Drosophila melanogaster: one gene and its partner. The protein of the gene in region 1 interacts with the protein of each later gene in a pairwise test. Each region holds a gene or a part of one and is shown on either strand. Other genes may lie near its edges.

The links. Proteins that work in one complex are often made in the same cells at the same time.
Region 2: the proteins of CG4367 (region 1) and Sp1 interact in a two-hybrid assay, tested with the Drosophila melanogaster proteins (one large-scale study listed by BioGRID).

Annotation. Positions count from the first base shown.
Region 1 is NT_033777.3:20,303,426-20,306,853, forward strand, and holds CG4367 (uncharacterized protein), read right to left. Parts: upstream 1,553-3,428; 5' UTR 1,531-1,552; coding exon 1,357-1,530; intron 1,296-1,356; coding exon 777-1,295; 3' UTR 530-776; downstream 1-529. Other genes in the region: CG4362 (uncharacterized protein), read right to left, coding at 2,888-3,051, 3,119-3,428.
Region 2 is NC_004354.4:9,727,970-9,732,680, forward strand, and holds the start of Sp1 (Sp1), read left to right. Parts: upstream 1-1,678; 5' UTR 1,679-1,914; exon of another isoform or gene 1,915-2,330; 5' UTR 2,331-2,594; coding exon 2,595-2,708; intron 2,709-4,711.

The DNA.
Region 1 (3,428 bases):
TAGATATTCTTAAAACGCGACTTTTGAGTTTTGTAGTGAATTTACCGACTTATCGTTTGCAATTGACTTTTGAAGGCTTTGTAAAATATAAAAGAAAAGAATGCATATATATATACATACAACTTATTTGTGAAGTTAACTAATAAGCCAGTTAATGTGAAACATATTTTGTAAGCCACGAATAACTTAAGACAAATTACGAATATTAAAATAACATACAAGATACAAATACGAACATAAACAGGATAGCTTAAAAACAACAAATATTTAAGCACTCAACCGTGCAAATCTCATCCGATCGTTAAGAACACGTCTAAGACAGGGCTTTCAGAATCAAGAATTTAATAAGTAGGATCCATCTTAGGAGGAGGGAGTGCGATGCCCTGCACCTCAAAGACGAACGGTCATCACCAACAATCCACACACACACTCAAAACACACACTCATATATATGTATAAATAATATATACGACGATTAATTTATTGAATAAAACAGAAATAAACATTCATAATTTTCAAAATGGCATTTATTTATGGTGGTTCGTAAATACTTAACTATTATTGTCTTATTGTTAAATGGAACTTTTTGAGGTGCATTTTTTATCAAGTATTGTTAAATCAATACATAAATGAAGAATTGAAGTAATAAAATAACCTTTTCTTAAAACAAAATCGTATTGTTGATGAACAATTTGGAACAATTAGAAATAAATAAGTTACATAATTTATTGAGACTAGCAGTATTGTTCGATTGGCCACCGCTGATGATAACCACCTCACTTCGATTCCGCCACCTCCACGGGCACCTCCTGGATAATACTTCTCGCTGAGGATAGTACACTGATATCAGCGCAGTTAATAAAGGTTTCCTGCGCCCCACAACCCATGGCGCCCGTCCCATCCTCACAAACACCCCAATTATTTCCCGCCGTGTAAGTCCAGCGCAAAACGCAATGAATGCAGTTGAGATCACTGGGCAGTTTCACGGTTACTGGGATATCGCCAGTGGTGGTGTTAATGTAGTACTTCTGGCTACCGTCGGTGAAATTCAAAGGATATTGGTTAAAGCAATCCTCCGACTCGCTGCCATTTTCGTCCAAATCGCAGATGTGGAAGCGGAAGTAGCCCAGATGATTGGCTGTGATCTTAACATTAATTTCCGCTTCATCTACTCCGGCAAAGCTCTTTACAATCACTCCACTGCCATATTTTCCACCCAACTCATTGGGTCGCGGCTGCTCCAAGCTCCAGTCGTCTCCGCACAGTCCACATTTGCCATCATTTTCGGTTTGTTTCTAAAGGGTTAAGAACATCATTGAATCAAATGAATATAGAATTTTTTTAAGGCACTCCTACCCAAAATCCACCGCAATATAATGCATTGTCATCGTAGTTTGTTGGCGCCGAGTTATCGTAGCGCCAACGCGAGGATCTTCCGGTTGGACTTAACATCATACCGTGGCCCTCCAGTTCACCCATCCGGTTTAAAAAACCCATGCTAAGAAACAGGATAAATTTATACGTATTCATATTGATTTCACTTTCTTTGTGGCCAAAACGAACTGGTCGTGGCCTTATATAGTTCCATATTGCCAAACCTTATCAGTTGCCGGGCAGTTTATGTTTGTTTTTGATTTTTCGTCCAATAACCGTGAATGCATCTTATCGGCTCACAATCTTAATTTCGTTTATGGTTATTGGTAGTTAGAATTTGGGAGAATTTCTTGTATCTGACCTGGAAAGTGTGAAAACACATATGACACATCTAAGCAATACCCGTATTTTTTGGTAACCTAATCATAATAACTTGGAAGACTGCTTTATTATGCTATTATTATTTAGCCCACCAATGCCATTTTGATAGGAGTTCAAAGGCTTGGAAAAATTCTCACGATTTCGCAAAATTTGTTAGCCAAGGTCAACGATTCTTAAGTGCAATTACTTACTATTTTAGTTGGTTTTGACTTCAGCACTTTTCTGCCAATCATATATTGTAGTACGGTCCATACAATAGCCAAAAACGCAAATGTTTTTTTAAACAACAAATTTAGAGCACTTGCGCGCAGCTAAAAAAAATTGGCCACGTTTAAGTTCAGGGATTAAGCTGCTCGTATATTAATAAATCAGCAATTATTTAGTTTCGATTATTCCATGATGCCTCCAGATAAAACATGCGAGTACTTTGAAGCCACTATTTTCCTTTTTCATGGCCCTTTGGCTCAAAATAAGACATATATTTTAGCACATACTGCAAAAAAAGATGCATATCTATCTTCAGATTTCATAAATTTAAATTGCCCTATAAACACAATCTATTTGGTCAACTTTTGCGGTTATATGCTTTTGTTTTATCGATACAACGTGTTCTCAGAATCATCAATTAAGCATTAATAATCAAGGTGAAAGCGAACAAAATATTGAAATTTGCAATGAAAAGAATCGAACTATAAGTAACGTAATTCTGTTCTTTAAAGCCACTTCGCCTTCAATTTACACACTATTATTGTTATTATATATAAACAAATTTCTATTATTTTTTTTTGCTTGCTTTTTAGGTCAAAACCTAGCAGAAATACTGTATACCTGAAGGCCGTAGAACATTAACAAATTCTGATTTATACAATTTGTTGCATAGTTTTGGACTTAAAAAATATTGGTTATGATGTGTCTATCTCTAACATCTGTTTAAATAATGTATCTAAATTGGATAAGATCTCAAAATTAAACAGTAAATAAAACTAAATTTCTATAAATAGGAAGCAGCTCCAAGGACCCAATTAACTAATGTGTAAATGTTCACTCATTTATTTAAATAACTTTAGCTGACTATTTGGCATTTTGCATTTTCAGACATAAATGGCAGTTCGTTGAATTTTAGTCTGGATTTTCAGGCGACCTCAACCGGAGCCACTGGATCTCCGCCACCGACCAATTCCTTGACCAGGTTGCGACCCCAGTAGATGCTCACATCGGCGCAGTTCTTGAATGTTTCCTGTGGGCCACAGCCCAAGGCTCCGTTTCCGGAATTATCGCAGATGCCCCAGTTGTTGGCTGAAATGCACAAGATGTTCAATTAATTTTCACTTTAAGTTCCATTTACGTTCTGGCCACCACTTACCACCCACATAGGTCCAGCGGAGGACGCAGTGAGAGCAGGTAAGACCCTCCGGCAGGACGACTGTCACATCGAATTCGCCCATCTGATCGCCGATATCCTTTCTATCGCTTCCATCGATGAATCGCAGGCGGTTCTGATCGAAGCACTCCTCCGACTCGGCACCGAAGGCGTCCAGGTTGCACAGGTGGAACTCGAAGTAACCCAAGTGATTGGTGGTGATCTTCACGCCCACGGTGATGGTATTGCCAGCCACGTAGCTCCTGGTCACCACACCAGCTCCACCGATGCTTCCTCCGATCTCGTTGGCACG
Region 2 (4,711 bases), on another chromosome or scaffold:
TAATAGGTGTTGGTTATCTTTAAAATTGATTTCATTATCAAGTTATTATGCTCGATACGTGCATACTGATTGGCACAAGGCCCACTTTTCCTCAATTTTCCCGCTGTGCAGAGAATTTCCCGCGGCCAGGCAACTTGTGCTGGGCACACTTCCACATCTCTACTGCCACATCATCCACCTCCATCGACAGTCCGTTGCTGGTTTTTGGACTTTTCAGCTTTTCTCACAGGGGCTGGCGTTTTTCGGCTGCCTGGGCGTTTTGTTTGCATAGAAAGGCCGGAGGGGTGGGGCGGCGAGAGGCGGGGCGGTACAGGGGGTGTGGTTCAATTAGCCCGCTTCTCAGCTGCAGCCCTGAAATGCAACAGCTCGACCGGCAGCTTCCAGCTGTGGGAGGCCCAACTGGCACGGGTTAATCTGGATTGGGTTCCGAATAATCACGACTTCTCGGGATCTTCCAAATCAGAGTCTAAGTACATATGTACATTGTTTTTAGTTTTCCTAAAATATTACTAAAATAACATGCTATGTAATCTTACAAATACTTTGAATTTCGTGAATTTTCTGAAACAGAATTTTCAAATGTGTCAGATAAATTCCAATTGTTAAACCCTTTTCTGCAGCCTTACATCCGGTGAAATCTTCCAAGTATTTGTTATGATTTTCGAACATTCTTAACTATCTATATATATTTAGCAATATTTTCCATTTCTAAACGCTGTGATAAAACCACACCTGGATTTATTTTGCTCAAGCTAAGACCATTTAAAGTCGCAATTTCCAGAGTTAGTCTACTTTTGGGGGCAAAGCTGTTGCAATCTAAGTTTCGCTGGTCTTTTCCAAATTTCCTTTTCTTTAATTTAGTCGTTTTCGAGGTAAAAACACGACCATTTCCCCGCAAAACTCCCTTTCGCTGCGACCGATAGTAACGAAAAGTCGAAATGGAAAACAATTTGTCATCTTGCGTGGATTTTCATTTCTATTCTCATACATATATTTCGTATACCCTTTTGTTTTTCCTACGATTTTCAGCTATCCAGTTCTGGGAAAACAACATTGGCGAACATTTAATTGAACGCAATAGTAGTTGTTGCCGTGTGTGCATTTGTTTTCAGTTTTTAACGCAGGCACGCGATGAAAGAGAGGGCCGCAGGACTGTCGAAAGAGACGGCACGAGGGGCACGTGTCCGTGTGCGTGCCATCTCGCTCGCACAGCGGCCATCGCTCTAATTATAGGTTAGGCCCGTCCGATCTGCCATTGGCCAAAGCGTTCATATAGAGGGGGCTGTGCTCTGGGAACTGGTTTTACCCAAAGCAGCCGGGGTTTTTATGAATGAAACTGGAAGGGAAAGGCGCACACACCACCAAAATACGAATACACGAATGCATATATATATATATATATATATCTTTACCCCTGGCACCCATTCGCACCACTCTAGAGAGTGGTGTGTGTTGTTTTATATTTTGTTGTTGCTGTTGTTTTTGGATTGTCTGTACGAGCGTCTCGCTTGCACTGATGGCATCGTTGGCCCCCACGTTGAATTTTGGTTAGTTGGAGTGAATTTACGACTGTGTGCTATCTCACTCGCACCGCTGCGGCAGCTACGCCGGCAGCGGCAGCGACTGTGGCAGCGTTGGTGGCAGCGGCGACATTTAGACAAGCTTTTTGTTCGCGTGAAACAGTTGCAAGCCTTTGAACGATCAGCGACGACGGCGTTACTTTTGGCGCGGATACAGCAGCGACACTTTTTTTTCGTTGGCAGGCGCCTCCTGTCACCAAACAAACAAATAAATAAACAAATAAACATAAAAACAAACAAGCAAATAAATAAACAATAAACCAACAAGCAAACAAACAAACATAAACAAGCCAACAAGCAGCCAAGCTAAACAAAACAACTGTGTGCATTTTTGGTTCGAGTTTCCTTTAATTTCCATCGCTTATATTTCATTTTTTTTTTGCCTGTGTTCCTTAGAAAAGAAGTCTATAAAGAATAAAAAAAATAAAAAAAAAATTAAGCCCATATATAGGCACAAAATCCCAGTGACAATAAGAGCAGTCAAACATTGCAACTCTCAGCAGCAAACATCAGCCGACGGCCGAGTGAAGAAAAGTGCAACGCCGACGGACTCGAGAAAAGATACAGATACAGATACGGATTATACATATCTGGGCTATTAGCTGGGCCATAATCTGCTCTCAAGCGATTTAGCCCACTTTGCTTTTTTTCTGAGTGCGTGTGTGCTTGTGCTGTGCTGTGCTGTGCTGTGCTGTGCTTGCCAATCCATTTGTCCATGTCCTTTACATCTTTTTTCCCTTACTCTCCAAGATCAGTGAGCCTGGCCTGCAACAATAGTCGCAACAAAGAAAAAAGTAGTTGAGTTGAGCAAGAAGAAAAGAATAGAAAATCGAACCCTAAACCCAAGTGGCCGCAAAACAAAGCAGAAGCAAAACAGACAGCATCATTGTGCGCCTCAAATTGACATCAGCAGCAGCAGCAGCAGCCGCAGCAGCAACGACAACTGCCACTGCCACTGCAGCAGCAGCAACATCAGCAGCAGCAGGAGACGCAGCAGGAACATCCACAGCAACCATGTTAACGGACATGACACCGACCGCCGGTCAGCTCTACGGATCCCAGATTCCGGCCATGGGCATGAACATCAGCAATATCGCCACACACTTGCAGAAGCCACAAGTTAATCCGGTAAGCCGAAATCTCAAATCCCAAATCCGAAGATACCAAAACCGCACCTCGAGATATGTATCTGCAAGATAGGTCACTACAGATACGATTTGGTCAGAGCGTTCTTATCGAAGTGTATCTTTCTTTTAACACTGGGCCTCAATTATGCACACTTACCGTCACTTTACACACAATTGCCATCCATCGAATAGAAAACTATCGACAGCATAGCCCAAAAGTAGTAGATTCTATTATACAGATACAATTACAGGGTGTAGAGATACAAATGTATCAATCTGTATAAGAAATTATAAAATTATGCCAATTATGGTGACCATTACTTTAGATACAATTGTCATGTCAGAAAGTTAATATTTGTAATATACAGAATTACAAGCATAATTGGGTCTTAATCAACTGTTCTAGAAAAACTAGTGTTTTTTGCACCCAAAAACGAAAAATGCCAATGTACTAAGAGCAATTTATTACACCCACTATTCGCTTCGCTAAACATTTCATAGTTATCGCTGCAGAGTTTAGCCCGAAAGTATCTCATAGATACATATGTGGGCTCACTGCGCACAAGTGACTGGCAGGCATTTGCTGACTTAGTCATGATTTGATGAATGCCTCCCGCAGACACTCGTGCACTTCGACATAAATCATTCGCGCAGAGAAGTCAAGAAGTTACTTTACGGCAAGTATTTCTGTATCTCACAGTTGCGGCTGCCAAATCCTTACCAATTGTCGCTTATAAAATATATGTACATACGTACAGTAATCGGACAAATCAGCCACTTACACGGCATTAGCATTGACAATAAACAGCCATAAACAAACAATGACAACAGACGCCGCGGATTTCGATTTGTATTCAGTTACGGATACGATTTCGCATCCGAGGAATTCACAGTAGCGCACACCTTTTGTCAGCCGCTCAGCTGGATTCCTTTTGTGAGGCGATGATGATTGGAACTCATCGGGATTGTTTGGTAGTATCTAATGCCGGGGAACGGGATACAAATCGATTGGACGCGGCTTGTTCAGCCCCGGATTTTTTCACTGTTTTCTGTGTGCCAACGGATTTCACGGTATGCGCCGCAGATACATAGCTGCAGATACAGATACTATTGATAGGCTGAGATACTGAGGTACCAGGTAGGCGCCGTTTGCCGTTTCTCGTTTCTCGCTCTCAAAATCAATTATTCAGGCTCACTTGAGGTGTGAAGCTAACGATGGAATCATTCCTGGGTCTACTTAAAATCTTTTTTTGTTGTTTTTTTTTTTTGTTTCATTTGGGGTTTTGGCAAATCTGTAGAGATCGTATTTCCACGCTGACTTTTCGACTCGTATCGCTTATCGCACAGCGGAAGCAAACACTTAAAGGCTAAAACGCATCAGGCAGCCGTTCATAATGATCTTTTGGCCCCGATCCAAAATTCGCTCATCAATCTCGTCCGGCCTTTGATCTGGACCGAAAAACTAAGACAGATTTCCGCTAATGATCGTTTTTGTACGGCTCCTCCGGGCTTTTGCTCTCGATTTCAATTCGAATTTCAGTTAGCTGATTATGCAAGTCCATCGTGCTGGCCCACATCATATGATATTGGTTCAAAACCCTGTAATTCACAGCAAAAGGTCAGCGGCTAGATCAGTTGGCTAAAAATAATTTGTTAAATTCCCCAAATGAAAACTTTGATGTCAATGCTAGAAGTCATTAAAATCAGAATCAGGGTTTGTAAAGTATTTAAAGAAGAATATAGTGTGTTCTAAAGTGTATACTTTAAAAGTTTAGCCAAACGAATAATTAAATAAATAAATTAGGGTTGATTGTACTTTAGATATACTATCTCTGTTCTGAAGGATTAGCCCGAATCGCATGACACTTTTAATAGAGTCAGCAACGCCAAATGGACGCAATGTGATTGAGGCACTTTCAATCTGCTGCCCCTGGCCACCACCTGCCCCTCCCCCCTCCCTCCTTTCCAACGTTCATTTTTCTCCGATTTTTTCACCTTTTTTTT